Oryctolagus cuniculus: one gene and its partners. The protein of the gene in region 1 binds, or shares a complex with, the protein of each later gene. Links are inferred from orthologs where the notes say so. Each region holds a gene or a part of one and is shown on either strand. Other genes may lie near its edges.

What was found.
Region 2: POLD1 (region 1) and POLD4 share a complex: the UniProt entries of both Homo sapiens proteins name them as parts of the tetrameric DNA polymerase delta complex. The link is inferred for Oryctolagus cuniculus from reciprocal best matches to the Homo sapiens genes POLD1 and POLD4.
Region 3: POLD1 (region 1) and POLD2 share a complex: the UniProt entries of both Homo sapiens proteins name them as parts of the tetrameric DNA polymerase delta complex. The link is inferred for Oryctolagus cuniculus from reciprocal best matches to the Homo sapiens genes POLD1 and POLD2.

The regions. Positions count from the first base shown.
Region 1 is NC_091449.1:7,468,226-7,474,841, reverse strand, and holds the start of POLD1 (DNA polymerase delta catalytic subunit), read left to right. Parts: upstream 1-2,988; 5' UTR 2,989-3,079; intron 3,080-6,616. Other genes in the region: NR1H2 (oxysterols receptor LXR-beta), read left to right, coding at 946-1,154, 1,443-1,589. UniProt on the Homo sapiens protein: As the catalytic component of the trimeric (Pol-delta3 complex) and tetrameric DNA polymerase delta complexes (Pol-delta4 complex), plays a crucial role in high fidelity genome replication, including in lagging strand synthesis, and repair.
Region 2 is NC_091432.1:4,679,199-4,684,962, forward strand, and holds POLD4 (DNA polymerase delta subunit 4), read left to right. Parts: upstream 1-2,150; 5' UTR 2,151-2,367; coding exon 2,368-2,464; intron 2,465-2,654; coding exon 2,655-2,744; intron 2,745-2,901; coding exon 2,902-3,013; intron 3,014-3,250; coding exon 3,251-3,275; 3' UTR 3,276-3,653; downstream 3,654-5,764. UniProt on the Homo sapiens protein: As a component of the tetrameric DNA polymerase delta complex (Pol-delta4), plays a role in high fidelity genome replication and repair.
Region 3 is NC_091447.1:51,599,453-51,605,940, forward strand, and holds the start of POLD2 (DNA polymerase delta subunit 2), read right to left. Parts: upstream 4,419-6,488; 5' UTR 4,093-4,418; intron 3,789-4,092; exon of another isoform or gene 3,720-3,788; intron 3,603-3,719; 5' UTR 3,577-3,602; coding exon 3,357-3,576; intron 726-3,356; coding exon 604-725; intron 461-603; coding exon 337-460; intron 56-336; coding exon 1-55. Other genes in the region: Friend virus susceptibility protein 1, read left to right, coding at 5,489-6,488. UniProt on the Homo sapiens protein: Accessory component of both the DNA polymerase delta complex and the DNA polymerase zeta complex.

The DNA of each region.
Region 1 (6,616 bases):
GCAGGGGGCTTCTGGGAGAAGCGCGGGTGGCAGGGGCCCGGGCCCAGGGCTCCAGCGGCGCCCCCCACCCGGGGCAGACGCCGCGCCCTCGTCCTTGTCCCGTCTCCAGAGGTCGCCCTCTCTGGCCCCATCTCTATTCTCAGACATCCACTTCTGCCCCAGCCTTTCCCTCCCTGACCCCCATCCTCCACCACCCAGGACAGACCTGGTGCCCCAGTGAGTTTGCGCAGATCAGGGCAGGACCGCGGGGAGCCCGGGGTTGGGGAGCAGTGGGGGGCCGGGGAGCAGTGGGGGGCCGGGGAGCAGTGGGGGGTCGGGGAGCAGTGGGGGGCCGGGTGTGAGGACGGCCCAGGCAGCTGGGGCAGAGCGGGAGGCCCACTCCCCACGCCTTTCTCTGCCACGGCCCAGTCAGGCGTCCGTCCTCCCCCTTGGACCACTCAGGAAGCCCCTCCCCCCTCCCGATGAGTCTGCCCAGCAGCCACACCCACGCCAGCTCCCCTCCGCCCACTGTGGGAGCTGTCCGCGGCTCCTTCCTCGGGGCCTCTGGCAGGCCGAACACCGCAGCCTGCTGCCTGGCCGGGCCCTCAGGTCCCGGTCACCTGCCGGCGTGGCCACGGGCCTCTCGGCTGTCCCAGTCACCCGTCCGTGTGTTCTGGCAGGCCGCGGCTCTGCCCGGCGTGTCTGTCGCCTGGACCCTACCCCCGGCCGAGGCCCCGGGGACTCAGGGACACGGATGGATGGCTCCCTCCCGGCCTGCGGGGTGCAGTGGACCCCCGGGGTGATGCCATGTGACCCAGCTCCCACGCGTGTCCCTCTGCCCTGGTGTCCACGCAGGAAGGCAGGGTGCTGGCGACAGAGCGGAGTGTTCCCAGGAAACGTTCCGCGAGCCGGGACACGGGGAGCAGTGACAGGCGCGTGACACTGCTGCGGTCTGCCCGCCCCCAGGCCTGCAGGTGGAGTTCATCAACCCCATCTTCGAGTTCTCGCGGGCCATGCGGCGCCTGGGGCTGGACGACGCCGAGTACGCCCTCCTCATCGCCATCAACATCTTCTCGGCCGACCGGCCCAACGTGCAGGAGCCGGGCCGCGTGGAGGCGCTGCAGCAGCCCTACGTGGAGGCCCTGCTCTCCTACACGCGCATCAAGAGGCCGCAAGTACGGCCGGGCCCCGGGAGGCCTGCGGCGCGGGGGTGGGGGTGGGGGGCGGCTGACTCGGCCCCCCCGCCCCCCACCGCTGACTCCGCCTCCGCCCCAGCTGACTCCGCCCACCGCCCCTCCGTGCCCCCTGCTGACCCCGCCTCCGCCCCAGCTGACTCTGCTCACCGCCCCCCCCTCCGCTGACTCGGCCCCCCGCCCACCCCCGCTGACTCGCCCACTGCCCCCCGCCCCCCGCTGACTCCGCCTCCGCCCGCTGACTCCGCCCACCGCCCTGTCCGCCCGCAGGACCAGCTCCGCTTCCCGCGCATGCTGATGAAGCTGGTGAGCCTGCGCACGCTGAGCTCCGTGCACTCGGAGCAGGTCTTCGCCCTGCGACTCCAGGACAAGAAGCTGCCGCCCCTGCTGTCCGAGATCTGGGATGTGCACGAGTGACGAGTGACGCCGGCGCACCCCGCCCCGCAGCCGCGCCCCGCCGCCCCCGCCTCCCTCCTCTGGGTGGGAGGGGCCCGGGCTGGGCCCCTGGGCCTACCTGGCGGCCTGGAGCAAGGCCCAGGCCCCTGCAGCCCTGGACCAGCCCCAGCGAGTCTTCCAGGAGGGGGCGGGGCTCAGGCCTCCAGCTCTGGCCCTGCCAGCCGCCCTCCCCGCCCGCTTACCCCTCACCACCACTGCGCAGTGCACCTTGAACAGAGGGGGCGGGCCCGAGGCCCCCCCGCAGCCTGACGCCACGGCCCCTCCTCCTCTGAGCCTTTTATTTAATAAAAACTAAAATCAGCAAACACAGGGAAAGTAGATACAAGCCAGCCCCGCGCCCGCGTGTGAGACGCCGACAGGGGTGGGCTGAGGGGCTGCAGGGCCGCGGGGCTCCAGCGGGCAGGACCAGGGCTGACCCCGGGCTGCGGGGCTCCAGCGGGCAGGACCAGGGCGGGCCCCGGGCTGCGGGGCTCCGGCGGGCAGGACCAGGGCGGGCCCCGGGCTGCGGGGCTCCGGCGGGCAGGACCAGGGCGGACCCCGGGCTGCGGGGCTGCGGGGCTGCAGGGCTGGCTCTGGCGGGAGGCCCAGGAGTTGGTGAGGGAACCCTTGCGTGGCCAGCACGCACCGGGAGGCCTTTGGTGGGCGCTGCGCCAGCCGTCCCAGATGTCAAACGACTTGGGGCCCCGGAACCACCGCTGAGGCACGTGGAGTTCGCTCCTCTGGGCCGAACTGGACAGTGGACGGACAGACGCCGCGGGGGCAGCACATAGCGGCTTCGGCCACGCCTTCCGGGGGACCAGGACCGGGGGCTGGGCCTGAGCCGAGCGAGCGCACACGGGCTGGAAGAGCGCGGACGGCCCGCGTGCCGGCCCCGCGGGGACGCCGGACGCTCGCGGGCGGCCTGGGGTGATGTGCCGGATGCTGGAAGTTGTATTACTTGGGGCGCGGGATGGTTACAGCGATCCCCCTATTCCAAGCAGCCTACTCCGACACTAGTGTACCACTGGGCAAACCGGTCGGCACTCGTCTCGCCTCCGCCAGCGCGCGCGAGGCAGCTGGGCGTCACCCCGCCCGCCCACCAGCGGGCAGCGCCCGGCTCGACCTCCCGACGTGGCCGCGGGCCGGGAAGCGGATGGAGTGCGCGCAGCGCCCGAGGGCGGGAGGCGGGACCGAGTGGGATGGGGCGAGGCACGCTGCGCGCGTGCGCAGAAAGCAAGCGGCGGAGCGAGCGGGCCCTCGGGGGCGTGTCTTTGCTCCGCTACGTCACGGCGGGGCGGGAGTTGGAGATCCAAGGAGCGAGGCCGCTTCCCTATCGGAGAGGAGGGGCGTGGCCTCGCCCGCACGTGGGTAGGGGCGTGGCCAGCACGGCGCGCGCTGTCTCTGGGCTTGCGCGCGCCGGAGTCAGGGGTCACGGCGGCGTAGGCTGTGGCGGGAAACCGTGTTTGAAGGCTGTGAGTACTGGAGACCGGGAATCGGGGGCACTCGGGACGGGGACTCGAGTAGCCTGGAACACGGGCCTGAGGAGAGGGACCCGCGGAGGGCGCGCGGGCGGGGGCGCGCGGGAGAGGGGCTGGGGCCGGGGGTCTCCGCGGACGCACGCGCCGGGCGCGGGGCGGGAGGCCCCCGGGGCTGTGCGGCGCCCCGGGGAGCCTGGGGTCGCCCTCTCCGCTCCCTGAGTGTGTGAGGGGCGTCGCGGGCCGGGCGCCGTGCTAGGAGCGGGAGCCGCGGCGCCGGTTCGCCCTCCCTGGGGCAGCGGCCTTGGAGGGTCGAGGTCGGCTTGGATCCGGGCACAGCGCCTCCCCTGCCACGGCCCCGCGTGTTTGTAGCTGCGGGCTGAAAGGCTAGGGGTGGGGTTCGGGTTTAGGTCGGGGTCCACCCAGGAGCCGTGGGCGGGGGGCCTCTGCAAGGCTCGCTGGCTGCCCCGGGGAGATCGGGGGTGTAGCGGGTGGAGGCATGGCGGGTGGCTTGGGCCTGGCGTGGGGGGCAGCGGACAGGGTGGGCGATGGCAGGTGGGCTCAGCCAGGCCGGCCGTGGGGGTGACCCCTGGCCCCTGGGTTTGCAGAATGGATGGGGGAGGCTGAGAGGGAGGCAGGCTTGGGGGCACCGCGGTGAAGGCAGAGCCTGGATGGGCAGGGGGTGGGCAGAGGGGCTGAGTGGGAGCCCCTGGCCTTGGGTCTGGGATTCCCAGGCGGAGCGAGCGTTTGTCCCGAGGGGAGGAGAAGTTGGGGTGACCCCAGGAGTTGTTGGAACCGCAGTTTGCCGAAGTGGGGGAGAGAGCGGGGTGGGGTGTGCGGAGGAGATTCTGGGGCGATGGGGAGCCGGGCTTTGGAGTTGTCAGCACGCAGCTGGCCTTGGGCCCTGGGACCCTGCCCCTGCCCTGCTGTGTCGTCAGAGTTGTGGGGGGAGCCCAGCGCCCGCAAAGCCCGGTCCTGGGCCCGCGCAGACAGGGGACCCGCGGCCTCTCCCAGCTGCCTCCACTGGGCCCCCACACCTCCTTCCTGCCTCTGCGTCCCACAGATCTGGCAGCCCCCCTCCCCCCGCAGAGCCCCTCGGCTTCCCCTGCCCAACCCCGGGCGGGACTCCCTCCCTGCCTGCTCCCCTGCGGCTGGTGGGAAGCCGGACCCCAGCCTTCTCCTGGCCTGCGCTGGTTCTCGCCGGACACCGTCGGGTAGAAGCACCCTTCACACGGACCCGGTGTGCACGTGTTCGTGGCGGCCAGCAGGGGGACACACAGCGTGGAAACAGTGGGAGCCCTTCACGGGTTGTGGAGCTGTGTCCGTGTAGGGGAGGCCCTGTGTCCAGGCGGGGGGCGGGTGTTCTGGGTGTCTGGGCAGGGGGAGCTGTGTGTCTAGGCAGGGGGGTCTTGGGTGTCCGTGCAGGGGAAGCCATGTATGTCCAGGCGAGGGGGGGGGGTCCCAGGTGCCCCTGCAGGGGCAGCCGTGTGTGTCCAGGCGGGGTGGGGGGGGGGTCCCGGGTGTGTGTGCAGGGGCAGCCATGTGTGTCCATGGAGGGGGGTCCCAGGTGTCCGTGCAGGGGGTCCTGTGTGTCTGCAGGGGGACAGGAAGCCCGGACCTGCAGCTGGGTGGTTGTACTTGAACACGTGGAGTGGAAGAAGCCGGAGGGGGCTGGGTGTGCCCCTTTCCCCGCGGGCCACGCTCCGCGGACCGTAGAGATAGGTCGCAGCTTCTCGGGTTGGTGGTGGGTGGGGGTGGAAGTGCCCTCGCGTTGGTGTGGTCCTGGCTGCACCACCCTGGGGACTTCAGGCCGCGGCCCAGTGCCCTAAGCGGGTGGGTGGGCTGTGTACTAAGAATTCCACCTCGGTAAAACCGTTGCAGACGCAGCTGCCGTCCCGTGCGACTGGTCTCCCATCAGACGTCCGCGGAGCCTGCCCCACTGCCACTGTGCGCGGTTTGAACCCACGGAGGGGGCGACGTGCCCCTGCCAGGGTGCCGGGCTCCGGCTTCCTGCTCTCAGGGACCCCGGGAGGCAGCGTGCTGGGGAGGTCCCACGCGGGGCACCGGGATCGAATCCTGCGGGCGTCTGGGGAGCGACCAGCCGGCAGGGAGCCTCTCTGAAATAAAAATAAAGCCCCACAGAGGACTCCCACAGCGCGCCGGGAGCAGCCGCGTTCCCTTTGCCGGGTTCTGCCCGAGGCCGGCGTGGTGCGCGCATGCGCGCTCGCTCTCTTCCCCGGTTTGGCTGCGCCGTTTCAAAGCCTTGGCCACGGGGTGGGTGTGGCGGCTCAGCAGGGTAAGCCCCCCTGGGACGCCTGCACCCCGCGGCAGAGAGCCGGGGGTCGAGCCCGAGCTGACCAGCTGCAGCAGCCCGCGGCTCACGTGCTTGGGCCCTGCCACCCCCGAGAGAGACTCGGATGGGGCGCGCGCGCCCGTCTCCCCCGACTCATCCACAGCTTTCCTGTGCAGGCATCTGGGGACGGGCCAGCGGGTGGAAGATCTCCCCTCCTTTCAAGTAAATTTAGTAGTAGTCGTGGTTCTCCCATAGACCCCCAGAGGCATCTCGGGCCGAGGCCTGAGGTCCAGCTCAGTCACCTCCGCCAGGCCAGGCGGCCGCCCGGGGTCCCCCGCTGTGGTGTCCAGTCCCACGCGGGGTTCCCGCCCCAGGCCCGGGTGCCAGCTCCGCGCTGGGCTTGCCTGAGCCGCTGGCGCCCGGCGAGCGCCTCCCTCGGGGCTTCTCCCGCCAAGGTGCGCTCGGAGCGCGCCCCCGTGCGCCGGGCTCGGCCTGCAGAACAGCTGCCCTGGCCGCCCTCCTGGGTCCCGGGTCCAGCCGTGGGCCTCCACGGGCCGCGCTGGCTGGTTAAGTCCCGGAGAAGGACAGTTAGGTGGTTTCCAGCCTTTGCGACTTCCAGCCTCCGGAAGTGGCCTCTGCAAAGCAGGTTTTCACAGGTGAGGGCGGCAGCAGGCCTGCGTGCGGAGCCGCGGCCTCTGCGCCCAGGGTTTTGCGCTTTATTTTTGGAGAGAGATCGTCCATCTGCTGCTTCACTCAAATGTCCACAGTGGCCAGCGCCGGGCCAGACTGAAGCCAGGAGCCTGGAGCTGCATCCGGGCCTCCCACGTGGGTGGCCAGATCCGACCACTTGGGCCATCTGCTGCTGCCTTCCCCGGCTGTTTTAGCGGGGAGTTGGAGCAGCCGGGACTCGAACCAGCGTTCCATGGGATGCTGGCGCCCCAGGCATCGGTTTCATCCTCTGCGCCGCTGCAGCGCCGCCCCGTGGCTCTGAGCTACACTTCCGGCACGCAGAAAGCTCACTGGGACCCCGCCTCGGTCAGCCTCACCGGGCAGCCTCACCGGGCAGCGGCCGCGCTGTGCAGTGGGCCGGGCCCCTCGTGCCTGGCGCCTGCCGCACCTGCTCCGCAGCGCCGGGGTCCCTGCTGTGCCACCCGCAGGCACTGCAGGAGCCCGTCCCCGCCCCCGTAACCATGCAGAGGTTGCCAAGGGGCCCGGGTCACCCACCTCCCTCAGCCGACGGC
Region 2 (5,764 bases), on another chromosome or scaffold:
GCGCTAGGGAGGAGAGGGCCTGAGGCTGCAGTGCCCCTTAGTGGTCCAGACACGGAGTAGGGGGAGACCAGCGGGACAAGAGTGGTCCCCACCCCCGGGGTGCCAATGCCACCCTGGGGTGCGACCCCACTGTTCCCGGAGCAGGAGAGGAGGGAAGGCCTTCGGGGGAGGGGGCTCCCTCAGCTCCAGCCGATGCCGGCACGCGACCTGCCCACTAGGACGCTCTTCCTGGAGCTGAGGGGCACGGAAGTCCCTGGGCGACATCTTCCTGACTGGGTGGGCGAGGTTGGCAAGGCCCGAGCCGGGCGGAGCCGGGGGCGACTGGCAGGAACGGTGCCCACAGTGCCCACAGAGCAGGTCAGGGTGCCTGAGGCTGCCAGAGCAGAGAGACGAGGCCCAGGCACAGCAGGAGCCGCTGTGGCCTCCCAGCGGCACACCCCATTTCACGCTCCCTGGGCGGTGGCAGGGCCCCACGGCTATCAGCTTTCAGGGGTGGGAGGGACCAGGAATGAGGAGGGGTCTGCCCCACCCATGACTCCCACTCCTTCAGGCCTTTGTGGGCTCGGGAGGTGGACGCCACATGTCTCTGAGAACAGCCCGGGAGCCCCTCGTCGAGGCCCCGGGGTCTGGGCGCCACCTCTCCAGGGAATGCTCAGTGCCCCACTGGACTCCGCTCCAGGCCCCCGCTGCCCTCCCCGGATGTGCCCGGGAGGGAGGTGGGCAGTGACAGCGGGACACAGGGCAGGGCCCCCTAGCCCTGCACTGCTTCCCTCTGAGGAAGATGAAGGGAGAACCGGCAGGAGGCGGCCCCGGAAGACAGGCTAGTCCTCTGCTTCCCCTCTGGGAAGCACTCTCCTCCTGGGTCTCTGTGTGTACCGGGGCCCAGCCCGCTTCCTGACCCGGAGCACCGGGCCCGCGCACTGGGAAAGAGGCCAGCAGAGGCCCCCAGCAGGCGCCAACCCTCACAGCCCTGGAGGGAAGGACCGGATGGGCGCCCCGGCTCGAGGGTGATCAGGGCCGGGCTGTCTCTGTGCTGGTTCCCAGCCTCCCACTGGCCAGCACTTTGCCTGCTGCCAGGAAATTGGTGAGGGGGAGGCGGGAGTAGGGGTGAGTCAGCAGTGACAGGAGCCCAGGGGACAAAGGTCACGGGTGGGGGATTGAGAGCCACTGTGTACCAGAGCCTACCTCCTCCAGGAGGCCTCCTGACACCAACTGCACTGTGGACCCACCCCACGCCTGTCCTCCGTCTTCCAACGGCACCCCCTCTGCCCTGGGGACCTGGGGCGCAGGGAGGGGCTGTGGTCCAACAGGGGTCCCCGCAATGCCAGTCTATCGGCAGGGATAATAATTTATCCATACTGCCTACTTTCAAAAACCCTTGCCATCTGCTTAAACGGAGTTGCTGTGGGGATGGTTAGAGCGGTCCCTGCAACACAGCGCACGCTGCGCTGTGAGCGTTTTCTGCTCCCAGGCACGATGCTGCAAGACGGTGCAGGTCTGGCTGGGAAGAACTGGGGACCCAGAGGCCCCGTGAGAGACCCCAGCTCTGGCCTCAGGCTACCCAGGGGACCTTCCTGACCACTAGGGTGAGCAGAGGCAGGCTTCGGACCCCAGGAGAGCCGACAGGGCCACGCGCGGCCTCCACCAGCAGTGTGGGCAGTGTCTGGGCACAGGCTGTGAGAAAGGAGCTGTCAGAGCCCAAGGCCCCCACCAGCGCTCCTGGGGCGGGTGGGAGCAGGGCAGGGGGCTGGATTAGCCCAAACTCTCTTCGGACCTCCAGACCTGCCCCCACAACGCTCGGGTCCAAGGCCCCGGAGAGGAAGGTTCCAGATGGGCTCTGGGGAGTTACAAACCCGACACGGGGATTAGTGAGGCTGAAAAGAACATTTGCCTAGGAAGGCAAAACGGGAAGTGAGAGGCCCAGGATAACGCTCCGTGCGTCCCCGGGGACCCACGGAGACCAATGGGGGGCGGGAGGAGGTGGTGAAGTCTGGGGCATCTTGACAGGTCCCCACCCCTCCCGAACCCCTCCTCCCCCAGAGCACAGCTGCAGCAGCTGCCCCGCCCCTCGCCCTGCGCCGCGCGCCATTGGCTGGGGCCCGGGCCCCGCCCCACAGCGGCGGCCTGCCATTGGCTTCGGTCTTTGCTATTTGCGTGTTTGTGGGGGCGGGGGGCAGGCGTCATCCCCTGGAACCAGGCGACTTCCTCTCGGGCTTGTCTGGGTCATCTCGTCTGCCCGTCGCTGGCCCCATCTCGCTCTCTGGCCACGACTCTCTCGCGCTCTCCCCTAGCAGCTGTCTCTCTCGCGCCCGCTGGCCTGTCTCTTCGTCCCCGCGGTCACCTTCTCCGCCTGCCTGGGTGGCCACCATGGGCCGGAAGCAGCTCATCACTGACTCCTACCCTGTTGTGAAGCGGGGGGAGGGGCCTGCCGGGCACTGCAAGGGGGAGCTGGCACGAGAGCTAGGTCTCTGAAGCGCGGGGGAGGTCGGAGGAGTGGACAGCAGGGGCCGGAGAGGACGTGGGCGGGGGCAGATGGAAGGGGAAGCGTAGCACGTCCTCTCCTTCCGGCTGACAGGGCTGGCCGCCGGGTGGCAGAGGCAGAGAGCCGCTGAGGAGGGCTGCGGGCACCCGCCTGAGGAGCAGTGTCATTGCAGGGGAGGAGCCCCGGCCCCCCGGCGGGGAGGAAGCCGTGCTGGAGCTGCTGCGGCAGTTTGACCTGGCCTGGCAGTACGGGCCCTGCACAGGTGAGCGCCGCCCTGTCTCCCCGCCTGCCTCGCCTGCCTCTCGGGCGCCTGCGCCCGGCCCTGGGGTCTCAGGACGCGGCGCCTCGGCGCGCATTATCTGGGTGTGCCGGACTCTTCCTGCGCCCCATGAGGCCCGGGTCTCCTGCCTGCCCCTCAGGGATCACCCGTCTGCAGCGCTGGCACCGGGCAGAGCAGATGGGCTTGGAGCCGCCACCAGAGGTGCTCCAGCTGCTGAAGGCCCACCCAGGAGACCCCCGCTTCCAGTACAGGTCAGAGACAGGCTCGGGGCTTTTGGGTACCACCCGATGGGGAGGCTGCCCTGACCGAGGGGGCGTGGATGCAGGTTTGGGGGTTATGTTTTAATAATTCTCTCTCTGAGCTACTGGGGGAAGGGGTGACCCCAGGCCCCCCGGTTCTGTCTGCAGTACTGAGGGTCTGCCCGCATCAGACCGAGGGGCCTCACTGACTGTCTCTCTCTCTCTCTGGCAAATCCCCCGTCTACACAGCCTCTGGCACTTCTACCCCCTCTGAGGCATCAGCTGAGCCCTGCTGCCGCTGGCACTCCCGCCAGCCGCCCGAGAGCCTCAGGACAGAGCCATCGCCACCTGCACCTGCTGCTGCGTAGCTCAGCTCCACTGTGGAGGAGCGCTTGGAGGGCTCCGGTCCTCCATCCAGCCCCCACCCCACCCCCAGGGCGAGCTCCTGCAGGAAGTGCTGTCCGCAGGACGAGGACCTGGCCAGGGCCCTTCCAATGCCTTCCTCAACCAGGCAGAGCCGGACGCAGGCTGGCGACCTCGGAGGCCGGAGTGCACACCCGACCTCAGGCTGGGGAGCGGAGGGCAGGACTGGCTGAGTTCTCAGGGCAAGGGGTTCATGCACACTTATCAATAAAGAACACTGGAATCCTGACCTCCATTCCTTTAACGTGGCCCGGCCTTGGCTGGCAGGCCCCAGCAAGCTCCGAGGTGGGAGACAGCCAGCACCAGGCCTCACCTTTCCTCCCGCTTGAGCGGGAGGGGAGACACCCAGACAGAACCACGGAGCCCGCACTCTGCGCTCTCTGGCGCCCTCTGGTGGTGCACGAGAACTACTCTAGTCATCATCGGGGACCAGCCAGGGAAAACCTGCCTGCGCTACTGCCACCCAGCCAGCCCCATGTTGCCGGAGGAGGGTCCGGGGGCCAGACGGACCTACACGTTCCCACCAAGCACCTCTGCTTCCCTCACCAGGGTCGACCAGGAGCCACCGCAAGGCTGGGGAGGTCTTACCTTGCAGGACCTGCTCAGACATGGCCACCTGGGGCTCTGGAAGGGAACCCACAGTGCTGGGGACAGAGGGAGCTGGCTGGGGACGGGGTAACGCGGAGGAGACCCGGGTCAGGGTGTGACGTGGAGGGTGCAGTGGCTCCCCTCTCTGGCAGTCCTGTCCCAGCCCCGCAGGGACTCCTAGACACAGGCCAGGACAGGCCTCCGGGGCTTAGTGCCACCTTCCTGAGCACTGCCCGCGTTGCAGGGACTTCAAGTGCACAGTGTTCAGAGAGGTCAAGTGAAGATCCCCAAAGCACCCAGCAGGAAGGTGGCCAGGCAGGCCATGACCTTGCCCCGTGCCGGGCACCAAAGGTCTTGGGTGTTTATGAACAGTGGGGAGGTGGACAAGGCGGAGCACAGAGGTGCTGTCCCAGAGAGCCGGGGCAGAGGGCCCGCGGCAGCACTGGACAGAAGCCTGGAAGGAGTAGGGGCACCAGGTTGCACCCACAGCAGTGTTCCAGACGAAGGGACGGCAAACAGGAAAGCCCCGTGGCAGAAGCATGCCCCATGTGTTCCAGGAACAGGTGGAGGCGAGTGTAGCCAGGGAGGGCAGTGCCGAGTGAGGCCAGGCAGCGGGCAGGCCGGTGCCACAGGGCCTTGGGGCCATGGCAGGAAATCTGGGTTTTATTCTGGGAGGGGAAGGCGTCGGAGGGCTCGAGGCCAGTCAGTGACATCATGACACTGATGTTTTGGAAGCATTCCTCTGGCTGCTGGTCGAGAGCAGGTTGTGGAGCTGGGAGAAGACAGGTGGCGGCCGCACTCGGGAGGCTGCTGGAGTCGGCCTGGTGACGGTGACGGTGACCTGGGCCAGGGTGCGGGAGGGGCAGAGCCGCGAAGAAGCGCCAGGTCCTCTCCCTTCCGGAGGGAGAATGGACAGGACCTTCTGGCCAGCTGGCTGTGGGACTGAAGAGAGAGGAGCCAAGGACGGCCGCACAGTCCCGCCGGGCTCCCCTCACCGAGACAGACAGGACCGGGGAAGGGCGGGGGGCTGGGGCGGGAGGCGAGGGCTGTTATAGGCAGTTGTTGACACATTCCAGGGGACGGGTGTAGGCGGCTGTGAGAGTCTAGAACTCAGAGATCTAGATTTGAGCTGACAAAGCCAGGGATCTCTCCTAGGGCATTTGGAGCCATGCGAGTGGACAGGACTACCCGAGAGTAGACAGGGATTAGACGTGGTTCAAGGCCAGCCCTGTGGCCTCCCACACTCAAGAGGTCAGGGTGAAAGGGACTGAGGAGAGCCAGAAGAATGAGGGGAGCTGGGGGGGACCCGAGGGGCCCGGGAGAAGGTGGGAAGGGCTCAGAGGCCCCAGAGAAGGTGGCAAACTGGAGCCGAGAGCAGCCCGCTGGGCTGTCCATGATGGGGCCACTGGGGACCTTGACAAGGGGCTGCAGGCCAGGAGGCTGCTGGGGTGGACACAAGGAACTGCCCCAAGGCTCCCAGGGACGCTGTGGGGTAGAGGTGGCAGAGGAGAGGTCCCGGGGACGCTGTGGGGTGGAGGTGGGGGTGGCAGAGTAGGGGTCCTGGGGACGGTGTGGGTGGAGGTGAGGGTGGCAGAGGAGGGGTCCCAGGATGCTGTGTGTGGGGTGGGGGTGACAGAGGAGGGGTCCCGGGACGCTGTGTGTGGAGGTGGGGGTGGCAGAGGAGGGGTCCTGGGGACAGTGTGGGTGGAGGTGAGGGTGGCAGAGGAGGGGTCCCGGGGACGCTGTGGGTGG
Region 3 (6,488 bases), on another chromosome or scaffold:
TCCACCAGAAACTTGCCATCGTCCTTCACGGAGCCCAGCACCGCCAGGACCGTCCCTGGGGGGCCCAGTTGTTCCCATGTCACCCACGGTGACAGACGTCCCTCAGCCACACTGGTGAATTCTCTCGTGACTCCAGGTCCAATGTCTACTTCCTGGAGCCACTGCCTCTGGGTGGGACCAGGGACACTGATGTCCCAGCTGAGTCTCACCTACCGCTGGCCTCCTCCTGCCCACACATGCCAGCCGTCACGCAAGGGCCACACCCCCAGCACCACCCCCTCCGCAGTTAGGCCCCACAGTTCCTTCCCCGGGCTCCCGCAGAACCCGGCTCCCCACCTGTGACCAGCTTTGACACGTCAATGGTGCCCTTCAGTTTGATTCGCTGCAATTCGTCCTCCAAGACCAGCTGGTCATCGGGGTGGATGTACTTGCTCCGAGGCGGCTGCGGGAGCAGGTTGTGCTGGAATACAGAAACGGAAGCCACGTGGGGCTGAGCCACCCAAGGACACCGCAGCCCGCATCCGTCTGGACCTGCCTGCCCACCGCACCACCTTCCTGTGGGCAGACGTGAGCTGTGTCCGGCTCTGCGTGCCACGGTCTCACCTCCTCGCTGATCTCGCGCAGGATGGAGGGCTGCAGGGGCATGGCCTTGAAGAGAGTGCCCACCACGCAGCACTGCTCTCCGGACTGCAGCTCACACAGCTTCTTCACCTCGGTGCCACTGCCTGGGGGGCGGGGGCACAGACTCAGACGCGGGCACGCCAGCGAAGGGGGCCAGCCCCGGGGACGCCGGGTGTCCTCGTGAGAGGCAGAGGAGAGGCCGCATGAGTAAGGCCCAGGCCCTAGCAGCGCCGCGAGCGGGGAGGGAGGCGTCCGTTCCCAGCAGCCACGGAGCCACTCAGTGTTACTCCGCCCTACCCCAGCTGGGACGCCATCCTGAGAAAGAGACACCGATGTTACAACTGTCCTGTGGAGTCAGGATTCTCCTGCCAAACGCTTCTTCCTCTGGAGAGGTCCCCCAGGTTCAGACCCCAGTCCCGTTCCCGTGGAGTCAGGCAGCCCTGCTCACCCAGTGAGCCCACGAGGGCACTGGCTGGCTCAGGAGGAAGGCGGGGAGTGAGGGCGGGCAGAGGAAGGCCCGCAAGTCCCCAAGGCCCGTGGATCTCTTGGAACAGACCCCGCACAGCCCAGTCCTCTCGCCAAGAACATTCCTGAGCTACAGCCTGGGGAGCAGAGGGAGGTAACTCAAACAAGGGCGAGGTGGGCCCCACAGAATGCCACACACCCATGCAAACAGATCCCAGATCCCCAGGCAGCCCCGTCTAAGCACTGTACACGCAACTCGGCCAACCCTGACCCTGTGCCAGCAGCAGACAGCGCTCAGAGAGGTCAGGGAACATGTCCAGGGTCACACAGCTGGACTCAAGCTGTGCCCGAGCACCAGCCAGAAGGACACGGGCGGGCCACACACACATACACACACACCCCGTTATGTGCGAGTGCCAACACTGAGGATGGATGAAACTGGCCGGCCCTTGGCCTCTCTGAGCCCTGTGTGGGAGGCGGAGAGACATTAGCTGATGCACCAATGACTAATCAGCAACTGACCACTGTGAGAAGTGCAAGGCTGAGCAGAAAACACGGGGAGGCCCCAGAGAGTCACGGTGACGGTGATAGAAGGACAGGAAACCGAGGTGAGGAGACAAGACTCCGGGGAGGGCATGGGCCAGGGCAGGCTGACCCTGGAGAGGGCGCAGGCCAGGGCAGACCAACCCCAGGGCAGGCCAGGGGCAGACAGACGCCAGAGAGGGCGCAGGCCAGGGGCAGACAGACCCCCGGGAGGGCACAGGCCAGGGGCAGACAGACCCCAAGGAGGGTACAGGCCAGGGGCAGACAGACCCCCGGGAGGGCACAGGCCAAAGGGAGACCAACCCTGGAGAGGGTGCAGGCCAGGGGCAGACTGACCCCAGGGAGGGCAAAGGCCAGGGAGGGCACGGGCCAGGGGCAGAGTGACCCCGGGGAGGGCACAGGCCAGGGCAGACTGACCCCTGAGAGGGTGCAGGCCAGGGGCAGACAGACCCCAAGGAAGGCACAGGCCAGGGCAGACTGACCCCTGAAAGAGGGCGCGGGCCAGGGCAGACTGACCCCAGGGAGGGCACAGGCCAGGGCAGACCGACCCCAGAGAGGGGGCGGACCAGGGCAGACTGACCCCAGGGAGGGCACAGGCCAGGGCAGACCGACCCCAGAGAGGGGGCGGACCAGGGCAGACTGACCCCAGGGAGGGCACAGGCCAGGGCAGACCGACCCCAGAGAGGGGGCGGGCCAGGGCAGACTGACCCCAGGGAGGGCACAGGCCAGGGCAGACCGACCCCAGAGAGGGCGCGGGCCAGGGCAGACTGACCCCAGGGAGGGCACAGGCCAGGGCAGACCGACCCCAGAGAGGGGGCGGACCAGGGCAGACTGACCCCAGGGAGGGCACAGGCCAGGGCAGACCGACCCCAGAGAGGGCGTGGGTCAGGGCAGACTGACCCCAGGGAGGGCACAGGCCAGGGCAGACCGACTCCAGGGAGGGCACAGGCCAGGGCAGACCAACCCCGGAGAGGGCACAGGCCAGGGCAGACCGACCACAGAGAGGGCACAGGCCAGGCCAGGGCAGACGGACCCCAGAGAGGGCGCGGGCCAGGGGCAGACTGACCCCGGGGTGGGCCAGGGGGAGATACTGTGTTGGGGGAGACTGACCCCAGGGAGGGCGCGGGCCAGGGGCAGACTGACCCTGGGGCAGGCTGGCCCAAGACCCACCCGGCCTGGGTAAGACACGGTCTCATGATGACCGTCTCGGAGATGCATCAGGAACAGCGGCCGTGTGCCAGTCCCACAGCTGGGGTAACGGGGCACCACCAGAGTCGGGAGTGAGAGGCCGGGTCCTGTCTCACCCCCAGGGCATCGAGGGGTAGGAGAGCCCACCGGGGAAGAGACGGGGACGAGAAAACAGCTTGCACAGCCCGGGTCTTTATTTGGAAAGACAGAATGCTGAGGGTCAGGGGAGTCACGGCCGCTGGGCGGCAGGAAGCAGAAACGGAGGGGCCCCGCCGCCGGTGGCTCCGGTGCCAGGCCAGCCGCGCTCGGGCATGGGCGAACGGTGGAGTGCCCTGCACCTAAACCATTCCCCCCACCGCAACAACGGCTCTCAGTGCTCCACCCTGACCTGGGAGCAGCCTCTGGCCTCCACCTCACACCACAGGTCTTACACCAGTCCTGGTTACGTGAGGACGCCGCGAGGGACGGGCTAGCGTTCCCAGGTAACTCACAAATGGGACCGATCGGGGAAACCTGGAGCCGCGCGCGCCCACACTCACCCCAGCGCTGCCGGGCCCGGCTCACCAGGAAGGGTCTCATCTGGCTGAGGCGCGTGGCGTAAATGTGCGCGTACTGCCGGTTGAAGTTGCGCTCGCCCAGGCGGAAAGGCTGCGACGCGTTGGTGTAGGTGGCCACGGGCACCCGGGCGAAGGTGGCGTTGTTGGCGGACGGAGGGGACAGCAGCGTGTGGGCACGCTGGGCGGCCTGCTCGGAAAACATGGCTGCGTCCCGGCCGAGGAGGGGTCCTGTGGGCACACAAAGGCATCCCTGCCACCCTCGCCCGGTGCCAAACGCGGCTGCCCGCACCGCCTCCGGGGGCCAGACCGGACAGTCCCGGCAGGGAGCAAGGGAGCCTCTCCCACCGGAGTGCGGCTGAACCCCGGACCCGAGTGACCCCTGCCGGCTTCACACCCCCAGGCCGCCTGCCAGGCTCGCGAACGGAATCCCTGACCCGCGCCTCCCCAGCCCCCTGCACCTGCCCCAGCCCAGGGCGCGAGCCCACCCCAGAAGCACGCGCTATTGCTAAATAACCACCATCGCCACGGTGACACACACCGGCCACGGGCCGCGCCGAGCGCCCAGGCCTCACCACGGCCCGTGCCACGCGCTCCCCGCCTCCGGATCCTCTCGCTGCACCTGCGCCCGCGCCCGCGCGCGCTCGCCCCGGTCCGCGCTCGCGGGCACCTCCCGCTGCCCACCCCGAACCACACCTCGGCCCTCTGGCTCGGCACGCACCTCCCAGCAACCCGCACGGACACCTGGCGCCCGCGGAGCGCCACAGGCCGACTCCCCGGAGCGAGCAGCGCCTCTGGACACCGGCTACTCACCGCCTGGGCGCGGCTCCGCGACGGGTCAGGGCCCCGCGGCCCGCTGGACAGCGCGGGGCCGGGACGCGGGCTTTCCAGGAGCGACCCCCGAGCACCCGCGGCCGGCCCCCGAGAGCAGCGCTGCGCGGCAGCGGCGGGACGTCCCCGACTCTCGAGCTCGCACCCGCGGCCCGCCAAGACACCGCTTCACCGGAAAACCCTCACCAAGCGGCGCGCCGCATCCCGCCGACCCCCGCGCGCCCGCCCCGCCCATCGCCGTAGCCAGCCAATCGCCGCCAGCCCCGCCCCATTCATTGCCTCACTCCGCCAATCGCCATCCAGCGCTCCCCGTCCGCGGCCGCATCTCACCAATCGGTCTCCGCCCGGGTCGGCCCCACAGCGCCCGCTGCATCCCGCCGGCCCCCGCGCTTCTCACTCACCGCGCCGCGCGGAGCCACGCCCCCGGTTTCCCAGGCGACGGGAGGCGGGGCCGGGACGGACAGGCCCATGCTCGTCCGTGCGCATGCGCGTGCCCGGAACCCAGGAGGCTGGGTCCGCGCGGGTGGCCTGCACCGTGCAGGGTGGGCACTGCCCGGGTTCCCCGCAGGCTGGTCCTGCTGGCCAAGCGCTTGATTTCCGGCTGTCTCTGCAGAACGGTGACCTGAGCCCAAGTGAGGGTAACGTGGACCTGGAAGAGGGCGGTTGCTCTGTAGGGCGGGCAGCGAGTTGGGCGAGAGGCGTGGCGGGTCCTTGCCTTCCCGCTCCTCCCGCCAGGCCCGGCCCCAGACACGGTGGACTCTTGTCGTGTCCTTGTGGTGGCTGACTTAGGTGCCAGCCTGGCTCGCTTAAGGAGTGCGCAGAGGCCTTGCGTTGCGGGGGTCTGTGAGGGTGTTTGCAGAGGGGCTGTCTTGCGATGCCCAGTGGACGGCCAGGCGGGGCAGGCCGAGAGGAAATAAACACGAGACGGGTTGATCTCTCTCCTTCTACCCCAGCAGGCCCGAGACACGCGCTGGGCGTCGGAACTGCAGCCGCGCTGACCCTGGGCTCCAGCACGGTCCGCGCTCCCCTGGCCGTCAGCCGTGGGCTAAGAGTGACGCCGTTACCTTCCGGGCTCGGAGGCCTTCAGACTGGGAGCCACGCTGCCGGCGCCCCACGTTGCAGTGGACCTGTGCCACGTGAGCCACGCCGCCCGCCGCTGACCGCTCTCCTGTCAGATACCTTATACATTTCCCGCGGGGTCTTGCTCGCTCGCGCTCTCTCTCTCTCTCTCTCTCCCCGGAACTGCAGCACCGACTTGGGTCTCAGGAGTGGTTCCGAATTCTAAGATGGGTTTCCTTCATTGGCTTTGGGGCTTCTGGAATTGGCTGTGTAATATGGTTAGACCTAAAGACGCAAAGGATTCTCCTTCCGACGGTGCGGACAGCACCTGCAATCCGTGGCGGGAGCTATTCTTAGAGATGTGCAGGATAAACGCGGTGGACTCTCCCGAGTCACCGCTCGAGGGAGGCCAGGAACTCGGTGACTCCGTCCATGGGACCTTCCAGCTCCTGTGGGGAACCAGGGAGCACAGGGACGCTGGCTGGCTGCTCCTGTCCTCGCTGGACAGGGTGGTGAGAGACAGAGACGAACTCAGGGACGAGGTTTACCGGCTGCAGCTCCGCGTCAACGACCTCAGGGTTTCCAAGAGCGTCCTGGGCCAGAGTCTCCTCTCCTGTAGCCACAGGGCGGAGGTGGCGGAGAACCAAGCCCAAGCCCTCATCGTGCGGCTGGCGGAATTGCAGCGGAAGCTGAACTCGCGGCCTCGCAGGGTGTCTGCCGTGAAAGTCAGAGCGCTGGTCGGCAAAGAGTGGGATCCCGTACGCTGGGACGGCGACGTGTGGGAGGAGCTGGACGAAGCTGCGGACGCCGAGCCCCTAAATGCCGAGGAGGCTTGCTTGCCAGTGGAACTGGGCCTCCCGCCCCCCAGCGTGGTCCCCGCATCCCCACTCGCGGCTTCCCCCGCCCCGGCGGCGGCGGCGGAGGGCGTCAGTTCTGCGTCGCCCGAGGAAGTGGGCATGGCTTCTCCTGGAGCAGCCGCCAGGCAGAGCCAGGCTGAGGCGCCTCAGGACCCCGCCGCGTCACCCCTCTTGTCCTGCAGACAGGTAGCTGGCCCCGGTTCTCGGCAGGCCCCTGAGGCCGTGAGAAGCCGTGAGAAGGCGCGCTACAGCCCGAAGGAACTGCTGGAGTTTTCCGCTTTGTACAAGCAGAAGACTGAAGAGCAAGTGTGGGAGTGGATACTCAGGGTGTGGGATAACGGGGGGAAGAACTTAAAGTTGGTCCGGGCTG